Linked DNA regions of Sus scrofa. The protein of the gene in region 2 interacts with the protein of the main gene of each other region in a pairwise test. Links are inferred from orthologs where the notes say so. Each region holds a gene or a part of one and is shown on either strand. Other genes may lie near its edges.

Evidence for each region.
Region 1: the proteins of PSME3 (region 2) and WDR25 interact in binary tests that used the Homo sapiens proteins (3 or more experiments, as listed by UniProt). The two-hybrid records come from large-scale screens. The link is inferred for Sus scrofa from reciprocal best matches to the Homo sapiens genes PSME3 and WDR25.
Region 3: the proteins of PSME3 (region 2) and PRR13 interact in binary tests that used the Homo sapiens proteins (3 or more experiments, as listed by UniProt). The two-hybrid records come from large-scale screens. The link is inferred for Sus scrofa from reciprocal best matches to the Homo sapiens genes PSME3 and PRR13.
Region 4: the proteins of PSME3 (region 2) and EAF2 interact in binary tests that used the Homo sapiens proteins (3 or more experiments, as listed by UniProt). The two-hybrid records come from large-scale screens. The link is inferred for Sus scrofa from reciprocal best matches to the Homo sapiens genes PSME3 and EAF2.
Region 5: the proteins of PSME3 (region 2) and EAF1 interact in binary tests that used the Homo sapiens proteins (3 or more experiments, as listed by UniProt). The two-hybrid records come from large-scale screens. The link is inferred for Sus scrofa from reciprocal best matches to the Homo sapiens genes PSME3 and EAF1.
Region 6: the proteins of PSME3 (region 2) and TNFAIP8L1 interact in binary tests that used the Homo sapiens proteins (3 or more experiments, as listed by UniProt). The two-hybrid records come from large-scale screens. The link is inferred for Sus scrofa from reciprocal best matches to the Homo sapiens genes PSME3 and TNFAIP8L1.

The regions. Positions count from the first base shown.
Region 1 is NC_010449.5:121,236,345-121,241,418, forward strand, and holds the start of WDR25 (WD repeat-containing protein 25), read left to right. Parts: upstream 1-1,854; 5' UTR 1,855-1,939; exon of another isoform or gene 1,940-2,192; intron 2,193-2,318; exon of another isoform or gene 2,319-2,406; intron 2,407-2,418; exon of another isoform or gene 2,419-3,193; intron 3,194-5,074.
Region 2 is NC_010454.4:20,032,125-20,037,403, reverse strand, and holds the start of PSME3 (proteasome activator complex subunit 3), read left to right. Parts: upstream 1-2,057; 5' UTR 2,058-2,058; coding exon 2,059-2,100; intron 2,101-2,593; exon of another isoform or gene 2,594-2,608; coding exon of another isoform or gene 2,609-2,683; intron 2,684-2,785; coding exon 2,786-2,818; intron 2,819-2,941; coding exon 2,942-3,004; intron 3,005-3,199; coding exon 3,200-3,304; intron 3,305-4,505; coding exon 4,506-4,554; intron 4,555-5,279. UniProt on the Homo sapiens protein: Subunit of the 11S REG-gamma (also called PA28-gamma) proteasome regulator, a doughnut-shaped homoheptamer which associates with the proteasome. 11S REG-gamma activates the trypsin-like catalytic subunit of the proteasome but inhibits the chymotrypsin-like and postglutamyl-preferring (PGPH) subunits.
Region 3 is NC_010447.5:18,658,796-18,663,931, forward strand, and holds the start of PRR13 (proline-rich protein 13), read left to right. Parts: upstream 1-2,018; 5' UTR 2,019-2,239; intron 2,240-2,295; exon of another isoform or gene 2,296-2,540; intron 2,541-2,708; 5' UTR 2,709-2,728; coding exon 2,729-2,747; intron 2,748-3,331; coding exon 3,332-3,760; intron 3,761-5,136. UniProt on the Homo sapiens protein: Negatively regulates TSP1 expression at the level of transcription. This down-regulation was shown to reduce taxane-induced apoptosis.
Region 4 is NC_010455.5:138,678,375-138,683,411, forward strand, and holds the start of EAF2 (ELL-associated factor 2), read right to left. Parts: upstream 3,234-5,037; 5' UTR 3,131-3,233; coding exon 3,025-3,130; intron 1-3,024. UniProt on the Homo sapiens protein: Acts as a transcriptional transactivator of TCEA1 elongation activity. Acts as a transcriptional transactivator of ELL and ELL2 elongation activities. Potent inducer of apoptosis in prostatic and non-prostatic cell lines.
Region 5 is NC_010455.5:2,657,596-2,662,118, reverse strand, and holds part of EAF1 (ELL-associated factor 1), read right to left. Parts: intron 3,590-4,523; coding exon 3,453-3,589; intron 918-3,452; coding exon 697-917; intron 1-696. UniProt on the Homo sapiens protein: Acts as a transcriptional transactivator of ELL and ELL2 elongation activities.
Region 6 is NC_010444.4:74,205,881-74,209,978, reverse strand, and holds part of TNFAIP8L1 (tumor necrosis factor alpha-induced protein 8-like protein 1), read left to right. Parts: intron 1-3,120; coding exon 3,121-3,686; 3' UTR 3,687-4,098. UniProt on the Homo sapiens protein: Acts as a negative regulator of mTOR activity.

The DNA.
Region 1 (5,074 bases), on a different chromosome or scaffold from region 2:
CCTTTTTTTTTTGGTCTTTTTGCCATTTCTGGGGCCGCTCCCGCGGCATATGGAGGTTCCCAGGCTAGGGGTCCAACCGGAGCTGTAGCCACCGGCCTACGCCAGAGCCACAGCAACAAGGGATCCGAGCTGCGTTTGCAACCTACACCACAGCTCACGGCAACGCCGGATCCTTAACCCACCAAGCAAGGCCAGGGATCGAACCCGAAACCTCATGGTTCCTAGTCGGATTCGTTAACCACTGCGCCACGACGGGAACTCCCTCTTTTCCTTTTTTAAACACTGGGAGGAAAGCTTCCTTTCTTCTCCAAATAATGAAATGAAAATTATCTTAAAAGGCAAATAAGCCATTATTTTAAATGAAGCCAGACCCAAGATACTCATGAGTATTACAATGACATATTGGGAATGGAGATCAACTATTTAAGGAGGCCTCACGGGTGAAAAATATGACAGCCAACATGAAGCTGCTGAAAGGCAAGCTATGAATCCCAGCAGGCAACTACTCTTCCAGGATCTCTGTTCCCTATGGAAGCCGAGAATCACTTGAACTTGGGACCAATGAGATGAAGTAAAATGCACAACAGTGTAATCCTGACCCCTCATCTCCCTAAGCCAAGGTTTCCAGCCTTTTGGGAAAAGGCTGGTAAAAATACTAGTAAGCTCTAAGCCTTGGGAAGGTGGCAATACATACCGAGGTTGCAGGAGACACTGCAGAGGTGGCCACTGGTCCCACCGGGCACTTGAGTAGCTGAGACTGCCCCGTGCAGCTCAAGCTCTTCTTTAATAGTCGTCCTTTCCTCCTTTCAGTTTCCTTTTAGAAAAAGACTTCTCTCTTCCTTCCTTGTTTATCCCACCCTTCACTACTCACACATAGGAGTTTCTTATAAATCCCCCAGTTTCTCAGAAACGCTTAAGCCTCTTGACCCAACCTTTTTGATGGGACTGTCCAATCAGAGGTGGGTACAGGAAAGAGTGCGGGTGGAGACCAGTGAAACCCTCTTGGGAATCAAGATATTAGCTGGTCATTGCATCAGCCACCCTCTATTCCAAGCTGGCCTCCTAAAAATCTCCCTGCCCCCTTTCTGTTCCTCCTTCTTAGCATCAGTATGAACAACTGTAATGAAAACTGTGTTTTATGTGTAGTCCTGGGGGGCAGAAAGGTGGGCTGTAAATTCCTTGCTGCTGTCGTTCACGGGGGCGGCGCAATGCAGTGGAAAGATCATGAGTTCTGGGGTCAGATCTGAGTTTCGATCCCAGTTTGGGCACCTTCTTGTTTCAAGACTTTGAGCAAGTCACATTACCTCTCCGCTTCATCCTCCGCTTCCTCATTTGTGAAATGGGCATAAAGAAGCCTCCTAACTTTACCGTGGAGGGGACTAAGTGCGATACTGCAGGCAAAGCCCCTGTCACATGGCAGACACTTGGTAAAAGTCGGGGCCTCCCTCCTTAGGGAAAGGGCAGAGGTGGGAGACGAGGAAGGGTCGGCGCCCGCGGGAGTGGGCGACAGGCCGGGTCGGCGGCGCTGGGAGGAAGGGGGCGAGGGGCGCCCGGGCAGCCTCCGCGCCCCCCGTGCTGCCAGAACCCGGCGGGCAGCGAGGCGGGCTCTGAGGAGGATACTCCCGGCCCCGGCGTGCCGGCGGCTCCGGAAGGCCCAGGTCATCGGGCGCCACCCTGGCTTCCCTCCCTCTTTCATCCCTTCACTTACCGGCCCAGCCGGGCCCGTCAGCACTGCCGGCTCAGCCACGGGTTGCTGCTTGGGCGTCCGTGGAAACGCCGTCCGGCCGGAACAACTTCCGGATCGACTGCGTCATCATTGGCTGTGGCGGCCAGAGGCCGCCGCTGATTGGTTGGGGCCCCGGCGTCCGCGGAACGCGACTGGGCGGCGGAGTGCAGGCCGGACAGCCTCCGGGAGGACCGAGCGCTTCCGGTGTGTGTGGTGAGCGGCGGGCCGGGCCGGGGGACGGGAGGGGACGGGACCTGGCTGGGGCCCGAGTGCTCCACACTCTTCCGCGCGAGCCTTCGCCGCTGTTCGCCTGTTCTACATCTCCGGTTCTGCGTCGCGCAGTGCTCTGGACGATGCTCACCTCCTACTCTTGGCAACCTGGCTAACTCCTATTCATTCTTCAAAACCCACCTCTGGTCGTATCTTGTTTGTTGCCCTCATCAGTCTGTGGCCTCCGGCGCAGGAGGTGTGTTTTGTGTTTAATGTCTGTCCATAAAACCTAATATAAAGCTTGGCACAGTGTAGGTAATCAGGAAATGTTGAATGAGAATATCTTATCCCTGTTGCTTTCTCTGTGCCCTCCTCCCACCAGGTTGCATTTCACAAATATCTGTAGATGCTGGGGATCAAACAGTGAACAACACACAAAAAAGTCCTGCCTGGGTGGAGCTGACATGCAGGTGACTGTCATTGCCGCTCCCCTCTCCTGTAGCCTCATTTCTGCTAAGACCTGACTTTTTCTTCCAGCTGTTCTTAGCTATTTTTATTTTTAATTTTTTTGTTCTTCTTAGTTTAATCACTCCCTCTTTCTATGAAAAAATGTCCTTTCCCCACTTTTGCCTGTTTAGGCAGCAGTTTCCCTCTAAAGTTTGTTGTTGTTGTTCCCAGTGGCTCCCGATCACCTCCGTTTTTGCCTGTTTTCCTTGACTCATTCTTGCCTCCATCACTCTTACCCAATTTGATTAGTTTTGTTGTTTCGGTCTTCTCATCACCTCTACTTCCTCACCTCCTCCAGAGCGTTGCCTTCTGCCCTAGGCCTGCCTTGATCTCATCATAGGAAACAGCCCAAGCCCACCATCATGCCGACTTTTCTGTTTTACTTTCCTCCTTGGGATTTCTCATCACTGGACATCCTTTGTTTCACCTGGTCATGGTCTGTCTTCCCCCGCCGTGCGTGAGCATGATGAGCTCAGGGCATTGTTCACTTTCTTGTTGGCTGAGGTGTTCCTGGCGCCTGGTATGGGGCTCGGGAAGTAGCCCATGCTCCTTCAATGTTTACTGAATGACTGAATGAAATGTACATGAAGCAGATGCTGCTATGGTTCATCTACCTGCATTCATTCAGTTCTTGCTGCCTTGCCTTGTGGGGATCTTCTCACTCCGCTGCTCTCTGATCTTTTGCTGTAGGTCTCATTTCTAATTCTGGCCATCGACCTCTCCTGTGAGTCGACATCTGTGGACAACTGGGTAGGTAGGAATCCATTCTAATGGCTGAGGACAGGTGCCTTGGTGCTGGTAACCTAGTGGGTTCTCTTTGGAGGGATGGAACGGGATGCTGTGGTGGGTGATGCTGTGCCCAGGAGTTGAGACAGGTGAGATGTTTGATCAGGATGGGCTTCAGGAACAGAGCAAGTATTTAGAGAAAAGAAATGCCAAATCCTTTGCAGTGCAGTGTTCTATTAATTTATAATTTGTCCATTATATTTGTTCCATTTGAGATGGGCTGGCTTGTGATGGAAGTTTTTTGCTTTTGTTTTTTTGTGTTTTTTTGCTTGTTAGGGCCACACCCATGGCATATGGAAGTTCTCAGGCTAGGGGTCCAGTTGGAGCTGCAGCTGCCGGCTTGTGCCACAGCCACAGCAACGTGAGATCTGAGCCATGTCTGCAACCTACACCACAGCTTACGGCAATGCCGGATCCTTAACCCACTGAGTGAGGCCAGGGATTGACCCTGCGTCCTCATGGATACCAGTCGGGTTTGTTATCGCTGGGCCATAACGGGAACTCCTGTGATGGACGTTTTATTTAGACAATGGCTCTGTGTGTAGAAGGTGTTACCTGCCTGGATTGGACTGTAGGTGGGGGTGGGATTTTTGGAGGAGGCAGACCACTGGCATTTTTTGGATGTTGGTGTAACTTATTTGGCAATGGAGCCCTTCAGGCAAATGCTACTACCCTTTTTGGGAAAGGCAGGGGAGGGGTGAGATGGTCGCTTCCAGGGAAAACCACTGTCCGGGGGAGATGGGGGTGATAGATAGGCTGTCGGAATGGCGTAATTGAGGACCCACAGGGAGTCTTCAGGGATGGAAGAGGAGCTCAGGGTGGCGTATTAAGGTAGGGCACGTAGGCTTCCTCTGAAGTGATATGCTGCCTGGGCTCTCAGTGCTGCTCCACCGCGCCCTCTGCTGTCCAGGACATGTCCCGTATCCTTGTTTTCCTTGAGTGTCCTTGCTTCGTGCTAACCACATAGAATTGAATTCCAGAAGGGGGTACGTCTTTGGGGAAACTAGCTGGCTACAATTTATCATGTATAATGATTCAGAATTCCGGGCATGGTTTTTAATGTTTACTTAACATTTTAAAAAAATATAATTTAATTATTATTATTATTATTATTTTTTGCTTTTTAGGGCTGCACCTGTGGCGTGTGGAAGTTCTCAGGCTAGGGGTTGAATCAGAGCTGTAGCTTCCAGCCTTTACCACAGCCACAGCAATGAGGGATCCGAGCCGCGTCTGTGACCTACACCACAGCTCATGGCAACGCCGGATCCTTAGCCCACTGGGTGAGGCCAGGGATCGGACTTGAAACCTCATGGATGCTAGTTGGGTTCTTAACCTGCTGAGCCACGACGGGAACTCCAGGAAGAGTCTTTTAGGAAGGGGAAATTCACTGTCGTGTGAATCTGTGTGTTTGTCGCACAACTGCTGGATTTGGGCCACACCCTCGAAATTGGGTGGACTGATGCCTCAGGCACCTGGGCCTTGTGTCCTGGGTCTGTCTCTCCCACTGGCTTGTAGTCAGGATGGGCTGTCTGGGGAAGAGCATTCTAGGCAGATTGAACAGAAGGAAGGACTAGAGCAGAAGGGAGAGGGTGAAGGCGAGGGTGGCATGCTTTTGCCATGTGGTGAGGCCTGGTCATCTTTTCATTTCAGTATTTTCAGACCTGACCTCATTCATGCTGGTGAATGTATGCTCTTCTCATGTGTTGCTCAAAAACTGCTGCAGGCTCTCTGTACCCCCAGCTTTGCCCAAAATGTGCTAGTATTTGTGTTGGACAGAGTTCTAAAGTGGGATTGTTGCAGTAAAAACTGTGTGTGTTCAGGAGTTCCTATTGTGGCTCAGTGGGT
Region 2 (5,279 bases):
TGATAAAGGGAAGGGGGACGTGTGTGCAGCCACGCACACATTTCACAAAAGTTTGCTTCTGGTCTCGTGAAGATTACTACTAGTCGCGAGGAGCAGACATCACCATGAAGGATTTTAGTTTTCCTAGATACTAGGAAATGCAAGAATTGGGCACATAAAATCTTCTCCTAAAAATATCTAACTGGAGTTCCTGGTGTGACTCTTGGCTTAAGAACCTGACTAGGGAGTTCCTGTCGTGGCGCAGTGGTTAACGAATCCAACTAGGAACCATGAGGTTGCGGGTTCGATCCCTGCCCTTGCTCAGTGGGTTAACGATCCGGCGTTGCTGTGAGCTGTGGTGTAGGTTGCAGACTCGGCTCGGATCCCGTGTTGCTGTGGCTCTGGTGTAGGCCGGTGGCTACAGCTCCGATTGGACCTCTAGCCTGGGAATCTCCATATGCCGCGGGAGCGGCCCAAGAAATAGCAAAAAAAAAAAAAAAAAAAAAAAAAGAACCTGACTAGTATTCATAAAGATGCAGATTTAATCCCTGGCCTTGCTCAAGGGGTTAAGGATTGGGCTTTGCTGTAAACTATGGTGTAGGTTGCAGATGCAGCTCGGATCTGGCATTGCTGTGGCTGTGGCATAGGCCAGCACCTGCAGCTCTGATTCAACCCCTAGCCTAGGAACTTCCAAGTTTCACGTGCAGCCCGAGAAAATAAAAAATAAGAAAGATCTAACTATCCGAAAGACCTATTCTTCCAGTTTTCCCATAGCACAGAGTGCCTCACTCCTGGTTTCCACCCTGAGCTCTGCTTAGTGGGTTCTGCAGGTCAGCAGCTGCCATGGCTCATGGTTTAATCCACGTAGAGGCAGATGGCAAGTAACCGTAAATGCGAAACTCCAGTTCACAAGATTTAACTTACATAAGTGACTCACATTATATTTCTAGCCTCTGAGACACTGCTGTCCCAGAGCCTACTCCGATTTGTTGTGCGAAATAACCAATGCTATAAGACAGATGAATGGGTGAATTAAGACAGACAGCCTGGGGAGTTCCCACTGTGTGCAACTGGTTAAGTATCTGGCCTTGTTACTACAGAGGCTCCATTCCCTGCGGTCTCCAGGGTTCAATCCCAGGCCCAGGAACTTCCACCTGCCTCCGGTGGGTGGGGGGCGGGGCTGGGCGACAAAAAGTCGGGTAGGGGGGAATACAGTCTCCGCCTTCCACGAGGAAAATGGATACAGCATTGCCCTAGAAGTTAGGAGATGTGAGTTCTGGACTTGGATATACTGTAAACACTGTGTAGCCTAGGACAAGCACCGCCAGACTACAGGCATCAATTTGTCCATACATCTGGCACTTGATCTCTGAGGTCTAGGAGTAAGCGGCTAAATGGCAGAGAAAGGCGGGGAAGCCTGGTACAACAGGACTTGTTTCCTATCAGGCTCCAACCTAACATGAGAGCTTGGACCAAGAGGAGGAGACAGCAGGAATCAGAGACTAGACGCCCCGAACCCAGCGCGGGTACCACCGGCTTCCTCGGGCCGACGTCACCGGGGCGCGACGGCGTCTTCTGTCGGGTCCCCCACTCCAGGCAGCAGCGCCTCCGACGGTCCCTTCGGTGAAGGTGAGTGCCGGAATAACAGAGAGGCAAACGGTCCTCGAGTCTCTCTGAGACTCCGATCTCACTCCACCACCCTCTGCTGCCCTCCCTTTTACTTCACCCTTATCGGGCACAGGAGCCGAGAGATAGGAGCAGAGCTACCATCGTTCAGAGCCGAACCTCAGCGCGGCTGCGCAGGGCACGTGCACATCCTCTCGGAGTCCCGGCGATTGGCTGTGACGTAACTTCCGGTGTGAGCGGCGAAAGCCGGGAGGGCGAGCGAGAGAGAGCAGGCAGCAGGCAGCAGGCGGGCGGACGGACGGCACGAAGGGAGGGAGCAAGTGAGCAGTGAGTGGGCCAGCGAGAGCGGCCGCGTCCCGAGAGCAGCCGAGATTCCTCCCGTCCCTCTGACCCTCTCCCCGGAGCCCACAGCGCCTCCGGTCTCCAGCGGAGCGGACACGGCCCGGCCCGGCCATGGCCTCGTTGCTGAAGGTGGATCAGGAAGTAAAGCTCAAGGTAGGGGTACGGTCCGGGCTTCCTTACTCCTTGCTTCGATCCTCGAGCTGTCTGACTGGCTCCCTACTCCCCATGGCGTCTTTGTCTCCCTGGGGACACCAGCCCTGAGCTTCCGCTCGGCTCAGCCCAGCCCCCCACTCCCAGAGATGGCATCGGGGGAGACGCTACTATGGGGTGGCCTTCTGTACCCTGTCTAATGGTGGAGAGCCCCGGGGAGACTTCCGCGGACACGTGGTGGACTTAGTGCTTTAGGCCAGTGACAGCTGGAAGTCCCCCCAGCCCAGCAACGTCCCCATCTCTGGGCGCTGCTACTGCCCCTGCCCTTGGCGTCAGGCCTGCCTCACATCCTAGGCCAGGTTTGTATGGGGGTTGACATGTTTGTGAGCTCACGCCTCTCCCATCTACCTGTCTTTTGTCTGCTTTCAAATTCAGACAAGCTACAGACAAAGGGAGGGAGGGAGGGAAGACAGGTGGGTGCTGCCCTCCAGCCCCGCTTCCCTCTCCTGAGATGGAGAAATGGATCCTTAAAAAAATAAAGTATTTGCAGTCTGGGGGCCTCTCAGCTTCTCATTACAATTACAAGGTGAGGGAAAGACAGTTGGATTTGGGTTTCCCCATCCTGCCCATACTTCTCTTGCCAGGTACTGACTTGCTCTTACTGAATTGCTTTCTTTGTTAATTTTAGGTTGATTCTTTCAGGGAGCGGATTACAAGTGAGGTGAGTGAAAGAAGTAGAAAATCGAGCATTGGTTAATGGTTGGGAGTTCTCCAGAGAAGAGATGTCTGTAGAGACAGACCTTCCCTCAGTTACTAATTCAGCTATATTTTCCCTCATCTTTAGGCAGAAGACTTGGTGGCAAATTTTTTCCCAAAGAAATTGTTAGAACTTGATAGTTTTTTGAAGGTGAGAGACCCTTTTCTTTTCCTCAGAGTCCCCAGTTTTTTTGGCCCTGGTCTTTCTGTCAAATGGGACAAATGACGTGTTGATTCTATCTTGTTTTGTGCTGTAAAGCCGTCTTCATATGTTGCCCTTGAAATGAAATACTTCTTTGTTCATTTTGAAAAGACTGATGTTTTGGGGGTGGGCGTCTCTTTTCAGGAGCCAATCCTAAACATCCATGACCTAACTCAGATCCACTCAGACATGAATCTCCCAGTCCCTGACCCCATTCTTCTCACCAATAGCCATGATGGACTGGACGGTGTAAGTATCCTGTATTTATCTCTGTGTGTGTGCCGAAGCAGTAGGCGCTCTGTCCTCAAGTCTCTGGTCAGCTTGAACGTGTACAGGGGTACAGGGGACAGTGGGATTTGGATCTGGGAATGAGGATTCTTTTTTTTTTTTTTTTGGCTTTTTGCTATTGCTTTGGGCCGCTCCCGCGGCATATGGAGGTTCCCAGGCTAGGGGTTGAATCAGAGCTGTAGCCACCGGCCTACACCAGAGCCACAGCAACGCGAGATCCAAGCCGCGTCTGCAGCCTACACCACAGCTCATGGCAACGCCGGATCGTTAACCCACTGAGCAAGGGCAGGGATCGAACCCGCAACCTCATGGTTCCTAGTCGGATTCGTTAACCACTGCGCCACGACGGGAACTCCCGGAATGAGGATTCTTACAGACATATGACTTTGGTACACCCCCTTCGGTCCCCGGTTTTCATTTGTAGCATGTGTTAATGGGTACTCTGTTAGAGTGAGTTGAAAATAGGGCTAATAGTGACAAGGTCCCTCAGGTTACCTGGTCTGTCACCATGGCTCTAGGCAAGACTTTTCATCCCTGTTTCAGTGTCTTGAGTCTTGTTATGGGAGGGGGCAATTGTTCTTGCTATATAACTGCAGTTCCCCGTCTTTCTGTATCTTTAGCAACTAGTCTTTAGAATATGTCCACATTCTGTTATAACAATGATGACCCCATATTGTTATTTATCTGCTATATATATTGTTATTTATCCGTCGGTGTCTCATGGGTAGAACTTGCACTTTTGGAAAGGAGAAACTATCTGAATTATCTTTGTATCCCCAGCACCTAGCATTGTTCCTTGCAAGTGCTAAATACATGTTTGTTGATTGAATATTCTTTGTGGAACAAGCACATTTGTTTATAATCCCCTTAGTTATACTCACTCTGCATTCAGTAGTTCATTCTTTCTGTTGTTCATAGTATCCACCCCTCCCCTGGTTGCCTAATGTGTTATATTTCTTGAAAAGTTGGTCTTTCCAACTATAGTGTAAGTTGCTTTGTGGGAAGAACCTTTTCTTAAAGCTTTGTGTGTGCTTAGTGAATTGTGGGTAAATTAATAAGACAACCTGTGAAGTCAAGGTAGGGATTAAACTTGCTAGAAGGGTAACTTGCAGTGGGGATGTGAGTGTCGAATAGGCTGATTCTTGTCTCTTTGTATCCTTAGCCCACTTACAAGAAGCGAAGGTTGGATGAATGTGAAGAGGCCTTCCAAGGTAAGAGCCACCTTCACTGTCCCCTACCCCAACCCTTCCTGGCTTGCAGCCCTGAGAAGCAGGATGGATCTGGTGCTCTCCTGTCCAGCAAGCAGGATCTGATTTTATTTCCTAGCATTAGCATTCCTAAGCTCTCCAGACATTGTCTAGTACTCTAAACCTAATTTTCCTTTCCTCTTTTTTTGTCTTTATAGGGCTGCACTCACGGCATATGGAGGTTCCCGGGCTAGGGGTCTGATCAGAGCTGTTGCTGCTGGCCTACACCACAGTCACAGCAATGCCAGGTCTGAGCCGCATCTTCGACCTACACCACAGCTCATGGCAACGCCAGATCCTTTAACCCACTGAGCAAGGCCAGGGATTGAACTCACAACCTCATGGGTCCTAGTTGGATTGTTTCCACTGTGCCAGGACTGGAACTCCGTAATTTTCCATTTAACAGGGAGGGTTGGACTTAATGTGAACTACCAAGGGAGAGGTTGGAGGTGGCTACACATCACAGATTTTTCGCAAAACCCCAGTTCATATCATTTTTTCCTCTTCAATAATGCTTGGTGCGTTAAGTCTGTAGAGCATATTTTAATCTTGTTCTTTAGACTTTCCGGATGTTTTAGACACTCATCTGTTAATCCCCATATTCTCTCTTTTTTTAATTCTGTTGGTGGTGTCACGGTTTATAGATAGCTTTGTGACAGATAAAAGGCAGAAGTCATAAGCTTTTCCTT
Region 3 (5,136 bases), on a different chromosome or scaffold from region 2:
TTGTCCTTTTAACCAAGTGGTGATATTCTTGCATTACTGAGGTCACTGATTTATTTTCCAGGAGTTGATAAAGCAAGAGAACGCCTTGCTGCATGTTAGATAATTTGGAGGCTATTACATTTATTTTGGTGTGTCTCTCATAACAACACCCAATGCTCCGCAAACTTGTTTTTTGTATTTTTGCTCCCTGTACATTCTTACCACACATTTTTTTTTTTTGACTTCAAAAGAATGACATCTTTAGAACTGTTTTAGAGCCAAGGATGGTATATGTTTTAGATAATTACTACATTGTTCTAAATATAACCATGTAGGAGTTTCCTCTTGGCTCAGTGGGTTAAGGATCCAGTGTTGTCACTGCTGTGGCTTTGGTTACAGTGGTGGAGCAGGTTCAGTCCCTGGCCCAGGAATTTCTGCATGCCATGGGTGTGGCCAAAAATTAAAACAAACAAATATAACCATGTAATTTTTTTTTTTATTTTTAGGGCCGAACCTGCAGCATACGGAAGTTCCTGGGCTAGGGGTGGAACTGCAGCTGCTGGCCTATACCACAGCCACAGCAATGCAGGATATAAGCCCCATCTTCAACCTACACCATAGCTCATGTCAACACCAGATCCTTAACCCACTGCATGGGGCCAGGGAAACCCACATTCTCATGGGTAGTAGTCCAGTTCTTTTTTTTTTTTTTTTTTTTTTTTTTTGTCTTTTTGCCATTTCCTGGGCCGCTCCCACGGCATATGGAGGGTCCCAGGCTAGGGGTTGAATGGGAGCTGTAGCCACCAGCCTATGCCAGAGCCACAGCAACGTGGGATCCGAGCTGTATCTGAGACCTACACCACAGCTCATGGCAATGCTGGATCCTTAACCCACTGAGCAAAGCCGGGGATCGAACCCACAACCTCATGGTTTCTAGTCAGATTCGTTAACCACGGAGCCACGACGGGAACTCCAGTAGTCCAGTTCTTAACCCAGTGAACCGTGCAGGAACTCCTAACCATGTAATTTCGAATTTAAATAAATTTCTATGCTGAAATAAAAAAAGAAAACACGGTCACACCTATGATTATGCACAAACTTGTACACGAATGTTCATAGCAGCAATATTCATAATAGGCAAAACATAAAAACAATTCAAATGTCCATCAGTTAATGAATGGATAAACTAAATGTGGAATATCCAAATAGTGGCATATTATTTAGTACTTCCTTCAGAAAAAAGAATGGAGTTCCCTTGTGGCACAGGAGGTTAAGGATCCCAGGTTGTCACTGCAGCAGCTTGGGTCACTGCTATGGCAAGTGTTGACTCCTGGCTTGGGAACTTCCATATGTGGTGAATGAGGCCAAAAAAAAAAAAAAAAAAAAAGAAGAAGAGGCCATTGCAGCATTCCCGTTGAGATATGATGGTAGGCTGGAAGCAGAGAAGATTGAAGAGAAGTAGAGAAATTTCAGATTTATTCGTGAAACAAACGGACCCTTCCCGATGCTGGAGCGGGAAGAGGGGAAGGTGAAGGAGAGAGCCATCAAGGATCACCTCCGGCGTTTCTGCTTTGTGCAATTCGACAGATGGCGGAGCTATGTAGTTGATACAGGGAATCCTAGGAGAGATTAGAAATCTCTGTATTTCTCCCAAGAATGTTTCTTTACTTTCTATGGACGCTGACAGAGGCGGCAATATTGAGTTTTAGGGTGAATATCGGCAGCTCCCCGCCCTTCCTTAAGCTGTGTATATATATCTGTACAACATTTATCATGGTATATTTACTTTATAAGGTGTGGCACCCACTGGACTAAGAGCTCAGAGGTCAAGGGTTGAATTTCCTCTAGGTACTCACGAACTTGCTCTGAAGCTGGCCCCGCCCACCCATAGCCCCGCCCCCAGGCATTTCCGGCCCGCTCGCCCTCTGCACCGGCCTCACCCCAGAGCGCCCAGCTCCGCCCCCACTGCAACCATTGCCTTTTAGCCTAGTGGGGACTAGAGTGATTGACGAGCATGTTCTCCAATCCTAAAGCCCAATGTTGTTATATTACCAATTCGGAGGCAGCAGAGGCGGATGCCAAAGCCTAACGTGAGAGGGTGATCGGGAAGTGAGAGTGGAGGCTGCGGAGGACGCCTCCGCCCAGGCGGTGGTATAAAGCTGACGGGACGTCAGTATTCTGTTCCTTTCTTTCTCCATTCCTGGGTGAGACGCCCCTTCGTTGCTGGGGAGCCGGGGTCTCCACTTGCCTTTTTTAAAGGGTAAGAGGGTGTGTCTAACTATATAAGCGTTTGAGGATCTTTCCTGAGCTGCCTTACCTCCTTTCGCCTCCAGGCAGGTCCTTCTGTTAGCCTGGGGTGCGGGGTCCTGTCTCCCGTCACCCATCCTTGGGGATGGTGAAGTTGTTTCAGATCCCTCCGCAGCCTATGGTGGTTAAAGTCTTCCGGGCTCGGTCAAGGAAAGGGAGAGGAGTGATGGGGATAGCGAGATTCGCGCACTCAGCCCCTCTCCCGAGGAGTTAGAATCCGCAGCCAGAGCGAGTGGAAGGTGGAGGGAAACTAGGTATTGGGGGCGAAGGAGCGGGTGGAAGGAGACATTTCTTATGTAGCGAACCTGTTAGTTCCCTGGGAGCCTACAGTGGGGCAGGAGGCGTTGAAGTTGGGCTTGGTGTCTAAATCACCCACCCACTTCTGGGCCGTCAGCTTTTAACCTTCATTTCTTTCTCCTCAGGCTGGTGAAAACCCCTGAACATGTGGAATCCCAATGCCGGTAAGTGTTTGGGGAGAATCTCTTCTCCTGCCCCAGTCCCTTTTCGGATGGGCCACAACAGGAAGTTTGTGTCCGTTTCTCCTCCACCTCTGCCCTAACCTACAAAAAAGCAAAGTCCATAGCTGCCCAGTGTCTTCCCCCAGAGTTCACTGTCTCCAGGGAACGTTACCTTTTCTTTCTCTTGTATAGGTTTGTCTCCCCTCCCCTCCATGCTCCTCTTTCTTCAGCTTTACATTTTTTCCCCCCTAGGGCCACACCTGCGGCATATGGAGGTTCCCAGGCTAGCGGTCCAATCGGAGCTGTAGCTGCAACTGCGCCACAGCCACAGCAACGCGGGATCCGAGCCGCGTCTGCGACCTACACCACAGTTCACTGCAGTTCCTTAACCCACTGAGCGAGGCCAGGGATCGAACCCACAACCTCATGGTTCCTAGTGGGATTCGTTAACCACTGAGCCACTACAGGAACTCCTCCATTTTCCTTTAAGTATTGAGTGAAAAATGGAATCCCCTTCTTTTTGTTGTTTGTTGTCAGAAGCTCTGGGCAGTTCTAATCTTAAATTTATTCTTTGCTTTTTCCACCAGGGCAGCCAGGGCCAAATCCTTACCCGCCTAACGTTGGATACCCTGGAGGTTGCCATCCTACCCATCCACCATCTGCCAACCCTCCCTTTCCTCCAGGCCCCCTTCCCACTCCTCCAGGAGTGCCCCAGGGGAATCCAGCTTTTCCCCCTGGCGGGCCTTGTTATCCTGTGCCACAGCCAGGGCATCCAGGATGCCAGCCCTCAGGTCCCTACCCACCACCTGCCCCTTGCATGCCACCTGTGAATCCATTGGCTCCTGGCATGGTAGGACCAGGCATGGTGATGGACAAGAAGATGAAGAAGAAAATGAAGAAAGCTCATAAAAAGAAGCACAAACACCACAAGCATGGCAAGGTCAGTGCCCTCTGGAGCCTGGCTAGGAAGAGGTGCCCCCTCAGAAGGACTAGGGTGGCTGGAGGTGGGAAGAGAGGTAGGTGGCAGGGACAAGGAATGGGGATTCACAGTCTGAGGACTTGGGACAGGGCATTGTGTTACTCTGGCAGATGGTGCTTCCTTTTTGTAAAGGATTCCCACTGCGAAGAATTTAATAATCTTGAAAATAATTATTAGGCTAATTGGGCCTTCTGTCTGCCAGGGGCTATGTTGAGCCTTAGAATGGCTATCAGAATCAGGTGCTTTTCTTTTTTGCCTTTCTTTTCCCAGAGCTTTGGCCTCCCCACCCCCATGCTTGTTCTGGCAAGTGGGACACACCCACTGAGGTGGTCAAATGTCAAGACCTTTGGCCAAGCAAAGTCTTATGTAATGATAGATAATAATCTGGTCCTAGTTCCTGGAATTTCTTTCTCTCCTTCACTGTTCTCAGCTTGTTGTATTAATTACGTAGGTCTTCTTGTCCAGCAGGGAAACTGAGGACAAGAGCAGTCAGTGACTCAGGCTCCAATAAAACCCTCAATTTCGTGCTCAGTCTCAGGCTAAGTATCTTCATGCCAGAGGAGTGTAAATTAGCAAGTAGCTCTCAGGACCAAGTAGTAAAAGTAGCTCTCAGAACCAACTCTGGAAGAATTGAACCAACCTTGAGATATTTAAAAAAAATTTTTAGGGCCACACCTGAGGCATATGGAAGTTCCCAGGCTAGGGGTTGAATCAGGCACCACAGCCACAGCCATGCTAGGTGCAAGTGGTGTCTGCAGCCTACAGCGCAGCTCACAGCAACGCTGGATCCCTAACCCACTGAGTGAGGCCAGGGATTGAGCCCGAATCCTCATGGATTCTAGTTGGGTTTGTTACTGCTGAGTCACAACAGGAACTCCCTTTTTTCCCCCTTCTTCTTCTTTTTTTTTTTTTTTAATTTTTAGGGCAACCTTGATCTTAAGGAGGCCTTAATTTACATTTTTCTGCTTAGCAAATTTTTTTTTTTTTTTTTTTTTTTTTTGTCTTTTTGTCTTTTTTGTTGTTGTTGCTACTTCTTGGGCCGCTTCCGCGGCATTTGGAGGTTCCCAGGCTAGGGGTTGAATCGGAGCTGTAGCCACTGGCCTACGCCAGAGCCACAACAACGCGGGATCTGAGCCAAGTCTGCAACTTACACCATAGCTCACGGCAACGCCGGATCATTAACCCACTGAGCAAGGGCAGGGACCGAACCCTCAACCTCATGGTTCCTAGTCGGATTCGTTAACCACTGCGCCACTACAGGAACTCCTGCTTAGCAAATTTTTTTGCCTTATGTATGGCTTTGGGTGCTAGTCCTGGTTCTGGATCTTTGGTAGAAGTCTGAGGAGAAGGAAAGGTGAGATTGAATGGAGAGATTAAAAAATGTTTTGGATGGAGTTCCCATCGTGGCACAGT
Region 4 (5,037 bases), on a different chromosome or scaffold from region 2:
AAGCCTCAGCAAATGAATAATCATCATTACCCAAGTACCTAAAGATAGAATACTACTTTCTCCCAGGTAACACTGATTTGAGTGTTTGTTATAAATTAGGTCCACCCTGAAAGGGATTAAGAGGTACAAACCTCCAGTGATATAATAAATTATAAGGTTATCATATACAGCATAAGGAACATGGTCAATGATATTGTAACAACTTTGTATGGAGACAGATGGCTACTAAACTTATCATGGTGATCATTACATAATGCATGCAAATGCCAAATCATCATGTAGTACACCTGAAACGAAGATAATATTGAATGTCAACTATGCTTCAACAATAATGTCATGTTAAAATATATTTAACCATCCTTACAAATTATCATTTGTATCTTCAGAGCCTTACTTGTTAAAAAGATTATAACGATATTTACATTTAGTGAATGAATGAAAGCTGGAACCATTATGTAAAATTGCTACTGAAAAAACTGTATTTTTCACATATCTATCAATTTAGGGGCATTTCATAATTTTAATAAAAAACGATACACTGGTTGAATTTATTGCTTCATTATAGATAAATGAGCTCAGCAACTTAAAGTGAATTGTCTAAAGCTACAAAGTAAATAGAAAAGTTGAAATTAATATATGTATTTGTGTTCTACTTCATTATGAAGCTTAAACATGAATATATTTTTAAACAATAGAAACAAGTTATTTTTCAATCTTCGTGAGGAAAAATATATCTTTATATGTAATGCTGACAATTAAAATAAAAATAAACTTTTGTTTGCAATTAGAAATGTACACTTTTTTAAAAATAAAAAACTAATTAGGTTCACCTGCCCTGTATGAAAGTCAGATCTACCATCCCTCACTCTGAGTCCATAAGAGTCAGGATCATATGGTAAAATGAACCTAATCTCAAGGACAATGACTGGTTTTATTTTAATAAATCTAGAAAGGTTCTGTCTATTTCAAAAAGAAGACTAAAACTAAGGGTTGAAAACCTTTCTAATGTCTGCCACAGGACTAGAAGTGTGTTCAAACATCTAGGTTTAGTGTGGTTATTGTTGTTGTTTTGTTTATTTTCATTCTTGTAATTGGATCATCCAATTCTCTAATTCTGAAGATACAATTCCACCATTTGGGAAATTTTTGTAAATAAAAGGCTTGAAGCACCTATAAAGTGTTTTTCAAAGGCTGTTTGTTATTTATTTATTTGGGGGCTCACCCTTAAAAAGAGACCTTATACCCAAGTTATATGAAAAAATATTCTCAAGCAAATTTGTATAATCTAAAACCTTGTAGTTAAAAAAAAAAAAAAAAACTAATACTAAGACTAATGCATACCTGAGAAAGAAGAGGAAAGGAGAGGGAAGATATTATGTGAGAGAAAGGCATGGAGAAACCAGATAAGAACTATATCATACTTTTGGAAAATGGGACTGAAGCAGAGAAACTGCACAGCTGTCTCACTGTGGTAAGCCTTGGACCACAAATTATGATAAAGAATAAACAAGGTACACAAAGATCTGTCTGCACATATCTCCTCTGTTTACTCTATCAATTGGATATTAATTCTGCTTAATAAAACCCCTCTTAAAAATGTAAATATAGCCTTAGAGAGTTAAACCTATTGGTTCTTCAAACCTTTACTGTGAGTTAGTAATAATTAGATTGTGTATAACTTAAGTAAACTTGGAAAACGTGAGTTTTAATTGAGTGTTCTAATTGAAACATGAAACACTTCAGAAAAAAACAGCACAACAACAACAAAGATCTCTGAACAGTCTAAAGACAGAATGAGAAAGGTGGAGGGATGAGACTAAGGAAGGGCAGGGCTAGGAAGAGGAAGTGAAAAAATACCTACTTTACAATTTTGCCACAGAAAAATAAGAGGTTTATGGTTCGATGATCTCAAAGTTTCCTTCCCACTCTGTAATTCTATGAGGACTATTATGTAAAGAATGAATGTTTTACATACCAAATCATAATATACTATCTTTTCCTTTCTGGAATCTAAACCATCCAACTATTAAAGTAAAAGAGCTCCAATTTCTACCTCAACAACATGAAAGAGAAGTATATCAAAACTACTTCCCCAGGACAAACAAAAGGAGAAATCATAAGCAGTAAATGTCTTTCTAGTATATTAATAACACACCCTTCAAAACTTTGATAGTATTTGAAAACTGATTGAATGAAATTGGGGGTCCAAAAGAGACACAGATTATTAGAATGATCCAGAATCTCTCTCCAGGAACACACTAAATAACACCCTCATCAGTCAGAGACATCAAAAATGAAGACAGGAAAGAACATTTCCCCACCAACCTCAAGGCATTCACCTCCTCCTGCATAATAATAGTTCGGCCCTTGCCCTCTCCATTTGTCACCTTATTACAGTTGTCGCTAGAATAACACGGGTCTGAACTGCGCAGGTCCAGTTATACGTGGGTTTTTTTTCAATAAATAGTTTATATTTTCATCTTCAGATCTTTAACGTAGTGTGGGGAAATGCTTGTGTCTGATTAGAGATCACAACACAGGTAATTAAAAGAACTAGGTTAAGAGTCCTGATTCTACCCAAAAGGTTTCAGCTTCTTAGGTGAGTCCGGTATCAATTCCTTCGTTTTTGAGGCAGAGATAGGAATACGTGGATATTGCACTGCTTGGGGTCGACGCCCCTATTCCCTGCTTTGTTCAAGGGTCTACTGAATTTTCCTTTCCACCTCTGCATGATCCGCCAGTTACGTCTCTCTCCATCCATAGTCACCCCGCAGCCTTTCTCCACAAGTGGCCCTTCCTACCTGTTGGTCTCACTTAAATCTCTCTGCCCAGAATTACCCACACCTGCTCCACCCAGGTGCTTGCACCGACCCTTCCGGACTCGGGGTATGGCAGTGGACTGCGCTGGGCACCCCATTCTCCCGCAGAGTCAGCAGTCTGTGCGAACACGACTTGGAGAGGGTTGTTCTTTCGCACCCCCATACCCAGAGCTTCCCCCTTTCCCCCGGGGTCGTCCTCACTCACAGCGCACAGTGTGGAAGGCGCAGCGCGGCTGCTTCTCAAAACTCTCGCCTAACTTGAGAACCCGCTCGCGGCTGTCAATACGCGAGGGTCTCCCTGCTCCATTCATTATTCTCCTCGGTCTCTGAACTGCCTCCGCCAGCAGCGCTCACCACCAGCTGCCAACTCAGCCTGAAACATCTGCACTTGCAGCCGCCTACGCAGCCAAAAAAGACTCCGCCCCGCGCCCGGGGAGCGTGGCCCCCACAGGATGCCTCTCGCGTGTTGATTGGCTGCCGCCTTAGGAGTGCCCGCCCCTTGGCCCCGAGGCTCCGGGTCCCGCAGCCGAGCCCCTCCCCCTTCTCACGTTGGGACGCACGCAGCCCCGGGAGGCTATGGTTCTGAGGTACACGGCAGGAGCTGTGTGCTGCTGAGGAGGAACGCGAAACGGAGCGAGGTAGCCTACGTGAGGCGGCGGCTAGGGAAGGAGAATGTCCAGGGTGCCGGGAGGCCTGGACTCCAAGCTTATGGGCCAAGTGACCCGACTTGCAGGAGCTCTAAAAGGAGAATCGGCCTGCTCCACGCCTTTCTGTGGAGATCTGGTGTGGAAACTGAGGCGGGGGAGGGGCGGAACCTGGACTCCAGGCGCGGCGTCGTGCCCGAGGCCTGGTAGCGCCGAAGCTGGATCTAGAATCCTGAGTAAAGGAACCAGTGCCCACCGAGCCGTGGTCCTTGGATCTGACTGGAGGCGACGCCGTTACCTCAGCAAGAGTTTTCTGACCTTATGTTCCAGAGCAGGGTCCCAATGGTCAGGTCCCAGAGGGGAGTAGGAGTTGGGGGTTGGAGGGAGTGGAAAAAGAGTTCAGAGTTAGGAACTACAGATATTTAGGATCCCCTGCGGCTGGTTTGCATTTGGTTGCCTTCGTTTATTTTCTTCACAGTGATGCGTGCAGGCAGTAACGACACGGCCCCCACGAAAGACAAGATTCCCAAAAGATCAGGGCCAGAGCTTTTGCTCTGGCTACAGGGTGATAACATTAATAATTGAAAAATAATTTGTCTTTTTTTTTTTTTTTAATCTGTCAAAAGTTCGTGAGTTTAAGGGTAGAGATGAGAGAAGTGCTGTATGAGAAGAGAAACACTCAAGAGAAAGTTTACAAATGGTTGCCATAACACTGGTGGTTTTTCAGGGTAATTGTATAATCAGACTACTCTTTAGTTAACTTATTCCTTTGCCAAATTTATTATTCCAGGCAAGTAGATAAATGTGTCCCCCTCAACCTATCTGCTTGTGTAAATTATACTCTTTTAAGCATACTAAAGCTGTTTCCTGTGGTAGTTAAGCACCTGAGTTCTGGAGCCAGAATCTTTTATGAGTTTGAACCTCAGCTTCATGCTCTACATTGTGACCTTGTGCAAACCAAAGTAAGTATGTTTGTCATTAAAATTAGGGGAAGAGGTAGTACTTACACCTTAGAGTTGTTGAGAGGATTAAATTAGTTAATGCCTGAAAGCATTTTAAACAATTCATGGCATCCAGTAAACGTTCTCCAAATGGTTATTGTTTTTGAGACTTTACTGTCATGCAACGCTTTAGGACCATTCTTGGTGGCTGCCTTCTCTTCCAAATTTTGAATTACTCTAGGAGGTAGGAATTATTATTTTGTTTACTTTATAGAAAATGGCATAAGCCCAGTCCTTTGACTCTCTTTATTCTTATCAGCTGTGTCATCCGTCTGGCATTTAATGTATTTTACATAATAATTGTATTTTACGTATGTGTATGTATGGATGTTGTGTATACTTTTCTTTCCTGACCAGAACATGATGAGGAAATCTGTCCTATGTAAAAGCTTTGTGACCCTTGCATCTAACGAAGGACACTACACGTGTTTGGTGATGTTTCAGTGATGTTTTGTTATGTTAGAGGGCAAGAACAGTGTTTTAAGCCTATTTTACCTTAAGGCTTTCAAACAGAAATCTGAGGTTCCCATTTTATAACCAGGAGAAAAGTAGAGCATCAAGAAATTGAGATTT
Region 5 (4,523 bases), on a different chromosome or scaffold from region 2:
GTGTTTGCTAAAAGAGAGCATTTCCACAAGGTAGAAAAGGCAAACTTCCCAAGGGCCACTTTTTATCTTTTCCTGTTTACTACTATTATGGGTTTAATTTTGTTTCATAAAACAAACGTAATGTGACACCTACCCTCCTAATTTCCTAAGAGTCTGGACAATTAAAACCATGTACTGTATGAGGGAGAAAGCCAAGGTATGTGAGTGTCTATGTCTTGGGCTTGCACTGGGGAGGGCCTCTCAGTCTTCCTAGGCCAGGGTCCAGACCCACTGGTCCACAGGGTGCTTTCATGCTTACACACCTTGTGTTGGCACAAAGTGCCGGCCATAGGATTTAACCTAGACCCTATGCTGACACTGGCACACTTGGTTGTCACCCCCAGCACCTTGGACTTTTCTTCTTCCAGAGGCTTAAAGGTGCGCCATATGGACTTTCAGATGGTAGTCAGGCTTGTTTAAACCCCAGGCCTCTAAACAGAAAGCTGCAAAGACAGCCACAACTCAAGTCACTGTTTTAAAGGAGGTAAGTGGTAAAGCCCCTGCCCCTTTGCTCAAAGTGCAGAATTTTGAGCTCTGTGGAAACTGTGACAATGGCAGAGAATGCCCATGTCACCACGACTGGCAGCCTTATAATCGCCATGAAACATCAACACCCTCCTGCAAGCTGCTTTCATGGCTCTAGAAAATGCTCTCTACCTCTTTTGATGTCATCCAGCTGAGGCTCAGGTGAGGGGTTGTCCTTCAAAGGAGATGTTTTGGGTCCAGCTGGCGGCTTTGTTGGAGCTCTGAACGGCATAGGTGGTGGTGGTGGTGGTGGTGGTGGTGGCTGCAGAGGCGGTGGCGGCGGCTGTGATGGCTGTGGGGGACGAGGGGGCTGTTGTTCCATTCGGGCCTGGATTTTACTGCTCCCCTCAGCTCTGAAGTGAGATACAGACATTAAATTGGAGGGGCAAAAATAGTGGTTCTCAAATGTGCCCAGGTGACCAAACACATGGGAGTCTTTGCAGAACCCCTGGCTCCATACAGACAGCTTCAAATACTAGTATTTGTCATTTTATCACAGGAATGCATTCCAGTACTGCCTCCTGCACCAGATACAGAGATGAGTAAAATAGACTCGCTGCCTCCAAGGAGTTCACGTTTTACAAACAGCAGATGAGACACACAGGCAGGATATATTGTGACTGTGAGAAACCATTTTACTAATAGAAAATCCAACTATGTGACTTGTGCACACCATGTAAAGTTACAGTCACACATGAGTGACTTGTTAAAGGAAACTTGCTCTTGAAATACCGGCCTGTTTGCACTATTTTTCTATTATCTATTTACCGCTTGCTCATTTTGTCACGTACCAGCTCCTGCTGGCAGACAAGCAGAGCATTCCACCCCAAGCCAAGGAAATTCTACTCATTAACCATTTGTTACTGGGCCGGCTCAGCACTTTTCAAACTTTGCTGGGAACAGAGATCCCCTGGGGATTTCACTGAAGTCCAGGCTGACTCAGTGGGCCCTGAAATTCTGCACTTTGAACAAACACCTAAGTGATAAAACACTGCTAGTTTCCAGTTGACACTGAGCAGCAACAGAAACACAACCATCAGCGCTCAGAGGTGTCCCACCTGATTCATGGAGGATCAATGGACCAATACAGTGCACTGTCCCCCGGGATGGAGCTCTGGCCCTGACTTGGGTAACTCACAACTGCACTGATCCTTGGTCTCTTCAGAAGGATAACATTTACCTACTGTATAGCACAGTGTAATCTACTCGATACTGTGTAATAACCTATATGGGAAAAGAATCTGAAAAGAAATGGATATATGTGTATGTATAACTGATTTACTTTGCTGTGCACCTGAAACTAACAAAACTTTGTATACCAACTATACTCCAATCAAATTTATTGGGGGAAAAAAAATAAGGAAAAGGTAGGGAAAGTCCCTTTGAGGGAAAGCAGTGAGGACTGACTGCTTGATGGGTATGGGTTTTCTTCTGGGGGGGCTGAAAATGTTCTGGAATTAGATAAAGATGGTGTACAATATTTTGAGTGTATTAAATGCCATTAAATACATTATAATTTTTTTTAAAGGCCCAATACCACCTTTCTAAAAGTTATCTGTAAAGATTATGTAAAACAATGCACGTAAAACACGTAGCATAGGAGTTCCCATTGTGGCTCAGTGGCTCAGTGGTGACAAACCCAACTGGTATCCATGAGGACTTGGCCTTGCTCAGTGGGTTAAGGATCTGGCGTTGCCAAGCTGTGGTGTAGTTCAAAGACAAAGCTCAGATCTGGTGTTTAGGCTGTGGCCTGCAGTTCCTATTCGACCCCTAGCCTGAGAACTTTCATATGCCGTAGTTGCAGCCCTAAAAAGGCAAAAGAACAAAACAAACAAACCAAAAAACCACCTAGCATAATGCACAGCAGGTGATAACCCCTCAATAAATGGTAGCTGCTTTTACTTTTTGTGGAATAAGTAAAGAAGAAAGGCTCGAGGAAGCATAAGGAAAAAAACATCAGACTGTAACACTCCTTAAAATTTAATTATTATTGCTGTTATCAAAATATAACAATAGTGGAGTTCCCATCGTGGCGCAGTGGTTAACGAATCCAACTAGGAACCATGAGGTTGCGTGTTCGGTCCCTGCCCTTGCTCAGTGGGTTAAGGATCCGGCGTTGCCGTGAGCTGTGGTGTAGGTTGCAGACGTGGCTCGGATCCCGAGTTGCTATGGCTCTGGCGTAGGCGGGTGGCTACAGCTCCGATTAGACCCCTAGCCTGGGAACCTCCATATGCCGTGGGAGCAGCCCAAGAAATAGCAAAGAGACAAAAAAAAAAAAAAAAAAAAAGACAAAGAAAAAAAATATAACAATAGAACCACTGGGTTACTTCTATTTATAGGATGAATTTTGACTTTAAAATCTAATTGGCTTTATATGAAATGTGTAGTGCCTGTTAAATTAAATGCTAAACAGAGCTCACTATTCCAAAATATTGGACAAAGCTTTATTTTGGTCTTATAATGATCTCAAGTGTATCTTGTGAAAAATTAATGTTTTCATTCTAATAAAGAATATATGAAACTTTTCCATCCCAAAAAAGATTATTCAATTATTCTTTCATAATTCTAAATGTGTAAATTTAAATCTTATCCCTTAGAAGGTATTGTGTCAACAGACATGAGATTGACAAAACTGATTTAATCATAAAGCATACTCCATTCCCCAATGGCCTCGTGTTTCAGATCCTAAAGGCATTATTTCCTTTTACTGCCTTTGAGGAGAAGACATTTTACTGACTTGCCCAAGGTGGAATTGCTGAGAATGGCCACAGGGCACTAGGTACCCAAATGCTCGCATCCTGATAAAATAACTAAGGAGCATAAGGAAAAAACATCATATGTAAAGCTACACAAACATCCCACCAATCTGCACCGGCTTATTCACATACCTTGTCTTTTTGACCTGAATGCTGCTGCTGAGTTTCTCCAGCACATATTCACCAGTGTCATGGTTGATGATAAGCACACAGTCCTTCTGGTAAGGTCGTTTGTTCCCCTTGAATACAGTCATCGGTGGTGTGGATCCCTAGACACCACAAAAGTACCACTGAGATGATTAATGAAACACACCAAGTTAACTTATGGAGCATCTTCAAGGGCAGCTCGTTACCCTGGTGGGTTCAGAGTAAGCACATCCTGTCACTTACCTGCCTATGCCCTTCAACCCTGACCCATGGCTCTAAGGCCAAAGAAGAAAATCTTACCGTGCTGCACTCGCCTGGGCTCTGCAGGCCGTGGAAGAGAAGGCACTGGCCTTCTCTCAGACCCATAAGCTCTTTCTTGAGGGATTTAACAAAGCCTCTGCGTGCAACATCCCATCCCCTTCCTCCCTTTCATTTATTCAACCTTTAAATCTGCTCAAAGGTCACTTCCTTAGGAAGGCTTGCCCTGATTTTCTAAAATAAAGGCAATGTTTTCCTCTATTTATTTAAACTCCAGAAGGGCAATAAATGTTACTTGTTTAGTTCAAGACTGTATTCTCAGTGCCTAGTCATAAGTCAGCACCCAGTAGGTAGTCAATTTGCCAAATATAGCATTTAATTCCCTGTATGGAATCAGAAACTGCCTGGCTCCTTAACTCCTTATTCATACAGTAAAAATTCGGAGTTGGAAAGGACCTTAGGGACCACTTATCTAACCTCTTCATTTTACACTGAGAAACTAAGGTGCAAAGGGGGATGATGTAACTCACCAAAGGCGACAGGTAATAAGACAGGGATTTGAACGGGCAGACAACAATCTTTCCTCAGCACAAAGCTTGCCAGGTCTCCCTGTCCAGGCCCTTTCATTCTATCACTGGTTACCAAGCACTTATTATGTTCCAGAATAGGGTTGGGACATGCAATGACACAAATTCATAAAGAGTACTTTGCCTGATCTTTTGGGCTCTGTGATCAGAGTGCTGCCTTGGGCAAAGCTTCGAAAGAGTCTCTCTGCAAAAGTTCTCCCTTCAGCTTTTA
Region 6 (4,098 bases), on a different chromosome or scaffold from region 2:
TAGGTGGAAGCTATTGCAAGTCAGTGTTTCTGTGTCAGAGGAATCACTGGAGCAATGGGTTTCCAGAAACCCCACAAATGGCCCTGGGGAACCCCCACCCAGGCCACTGCCCACCTGACTCATTCAGGGACTGACTTAGGGCCCAGAGACATCCACCCTAAACTCACGGGGCTGGTGAGGCTGGCAGGATTGGTAGCTAGGCTCCTCCACCCTGAACAGCCCAGGGGTTGGGGCTAGGACTCTGTCTCATGGAACTTTGGCATGAGGGTGGGGGATGATAAGCTGGCCCCCCAGTGATAACTCACTTTGAGCCCCTTCTCAACTCACAGCAAGGATACAGTGGGTTTGAGGGCTGGTGCCAGGGCCCACAAGTAGTGAGATTCATCAGGCTCTGCTCATTAATCTCCAAAATATACAAACAGCTCATGCAACTCAGTAACAAAAAACCAACCCAATCAAAAAATGGGCAGAAGATCTAAACAAACATTTCTCCCAAGAAGATATACAGATGGTCAACAGGCACATGAAAAGATGACCTAATTATTACAGAAATATAAATTAAGGAGTTCCCGTCGTGGCGCAGTGGTTAACGAATCCGACTAGGAACCATGAGGTTGCAGGTTCAATCCCTGCCCTAGCTCAGTGGGTTAAGGATCCAGCGTTGATGTGAGCTGTGGTGTAGATTACAGACGCGGCTCGGATCTGGCGTTGCTGTGGCTCTGGCGTAGGCCAGTGGCCACAGCTCCGATTAGACCCCTGGCCTGGGAACCTCCATATGCCGCGGGAGCGGCCCAAAGAAATAGCAAAAAGACAAAAAAAAAAAAAAAAAAAAGAAATATAAATTAAAACTACAAGGGGGTATCACCTCGCACCAGTCAAAATGGCCATCATAAAATCTACACATAAATGCTGGAGAGAGAGTTCCCTGTCATGGCTCAGCAGTTAACGAACCCAACTAGTGTCTATGAGGATACGAGTTCAATCCCTGGCCTCATTCAGTGGGTTAAGGATTCAGCTTTGCCATGAGCTGTGGTGTAGGTTGCAGACATGGCTTGGATCCCACATTGCTGTGGCTATGGCACAGGCCAGCAGCTACAGCTCCAATTCGACACCTAGCCTGGGAACATTCATATGCTGTGATTGCGGCTCTAAAAAGACAAAAAAAAAAAAAAAAAAGAAAGAAAGAAAAGAAATGCTGGAGAGGGTGTAGAGAAAGGGAACCCTTCTACACTGTGAGTGGGAATGTATACTGGTGTAGCTACTGTGGAGAACAGTGTAGAGGTTCCTCAAAAACTAAAAATAGAGCTGTCACAGGATCCAGCAATCCCACTCCTGGGCATATATCACAAAAAAAAAACTATAATTTGAAAAGATATATGCACACCTATATTCATAGCAGCACTATTTACAATAGCCAAGACCTGGAAATAACCTAAGTGTCCACTGACAGATAAATTGATAAAGAAGATGTGGCACATATATACAATGGAATATTGCTCAGTCATAAAAAAGAATGAAATAATGCCATTTGCAGCAACATGAATGGACTTGGAAATTCTCATCCTAAGCGAAGAGAACAATAAATGCTATACGATGCCATGTATATGTGGAATCTAAAATATGATGCAAATGAAGAACTTATCTACAAAATGGGATCAGACCCACAGACACAGAGAATAGACTTTTGGTTGCCAAAGGGGGGAAGAGGGGAGGGATGGACTGAGAGTTTGAGATTAGAGGATGCAAACTAGTATTTATAGGATGGATAAACAACAAGGTCCTACTGTATAGCACAGGGAACATACGATATACAGTAATAAACCGTAATAGAACCCCCTACCCAGATTTCACCATTACACATTAACTCCTTTGACCATTTTTTTTGTTTTTGTTTTGTCTTTTTAGGGCCGCACCCGTGGAATATGGAGGTTCCCAGCCTAGGGGTCGAATTGGAACTGTAGCCACCGGCCTACGGCCTATGCCACAACCCACAGCAACACCAGATCCAGATCCGAGTTGCATCTTCGACCTACACTGCAGCTCATGGCAACGCCAGATCCTTAACCCACTGAGTGGGACCAGTGATCGAACCTGTGTCCTCATGGATACTAGTCAGATTCATTTCTGCTGAGCCACGAAGGGAACACCTGACCTTTTTTTTTTTTTTTTTGGGGGGGGGGGGGTCTTTTTGCCATTTCTTGGGCCGCTCTCGCGGCATATGGAGGTTCCCAGGCTAGGGGTCGAATTGGAGCTGTAGCCACCAGCCTACGCCAGAGCCACAGCAACACGGGGATCCGAGCCGCGTCTTTAACCTACAGCACAGCCCACGGCAATGCCGGATCCTTAACCCGCTGAGCAAGGCCAGGGATCGAACCCTCATGGTTCCTAGTTGGATTTGTTAACCACTGCGCCACGACGGGAACTCCCACCTGACCTTTTTTTTTTTTAAGAAACAAATTCCCTTAGGTCGCTTAGAGTCCCTTGGGTCATCATATCTTTGGTGTGAATGGTATGTTTTTTTCCTTGGCCGCACCCACAGCACATAGAAGGTCCTGGGTCAGGAATGGAACCCGCACCAGACACCGACAGGAGCCATAGCAGTGACAAGACCAGATCTTAAACCTGCTGAGCCAGCAGGGAACTCCTCAATGCTATTTGTTTCCAAACTTTTCCTATGTAGGTTTTTGCCTTCTGTGCTCCAGCTACACGGAATTTCCCTCCTCTAGGCCTTGGAGCACGCAGATCTCCCCCCCCTCCCCCCCGCGGAAGCCGTCCCCATTTTCTTACCTGTCCCTTTCTCCAGGAGGCCTGCCCGGTCCACCTCGATCTGCTGGGGTGCCTGCACCATGGGCTCTTGCCGCTTTCCGGACAATAACACTTGCTACGTGTTCCTGGGGGGCTCACTGGTCTGCCACACACACCCAGTCCTGACACGCAGAGTAGGTCTGTGGAATGAGCACTCAGGAGTCCATAGACTCCCCTGGAGATAGGCTATTGGCGGGCGCCCATTTCCCGGATTGGGAAGACGGTGGTCACCAACGTTAGTGGCACGCCCAGGTTAGGCCCTGGAGGCCGGGCCGTGCGCACCTGACGGCCGGCTTGTCTGTCTCTCCCCGGCAGGGCGGATGGACACCTTCAGCACCAAGAGCCTGGCCCTGCAGGCCCAGAAGAAGCTGCTGAGCAAGATGGCGTCAAGGACGGTGGCAGCCGCATTCATCGATGACACGAGCAGCGAGGTGCTGGACGAGCTGTACCGCGCCACCAAGGAGTTCACTCGCAGCCGCAAGGAGGCCCAGAAGGTGGTCAAGAACCTGGTCAAGGTGGCCGTGAAGCTGGGCGTCCTGCTCCGCGGTGGGCAGCTGGGCGCTGAGGAGCTGGCGCGGCTGCAGAGCTTCCGCCAGCAGGCGCGCCGCTTGGCCATGACCGCTGTCAGCTTTCACCAGGTGGACTTCACCTTCGACCGGCGCGTGCTGGCCGCCTCACTGCTCGAGTGCCGGGACCTGCTGCACCAGGCCGCGGGCGCGCACCTGACCGCCAAGTCCCACGGCCGCATCAACCATGTGTTCGGCCACTTTGCGGATTGCGACTTCCTGGCCGCGCTTTACGGCCCCGCCGAGCCCTACCGCTCCCACCTGCGCAGGATCTGCGAGGGTCTCACCAGGATGCTGGACGAGGGCAGCATCTGACCTCCGACCTGGGTCTTCCCGCTGGGGGCGGGGCTTGCGGGCTTTTTTAACTTCTTTTCTCCCAGTTTGACTCTGGCCAACTTCCCCCCAACCCCTTCCCACACGTACACACACGGGTGACCTGTACCTTCTTGGGGAACTCAGGTCACCTCGGCTCCGGCCCAATCTACATGGGGAGAACTCAGCCTGGAGCCGGGCACAGCCTGCCTGCGCCAGCGGCCTCCCCGCACACCTGGAGACCCCTGTCCCTCGGGTGCACCCTCTGAACAGTGACCCTTGAGTGACCCATCTGTACCCCTCAAATCACTCGGTGTCTCTGAAAGCTGGTGGCTTCCCACTTTAATGTTATTGCCTGGGCTTTTTCATTCCTACAGAAAGGGTCATGAGGGACCAGGAGAAAGGGGATGTTATG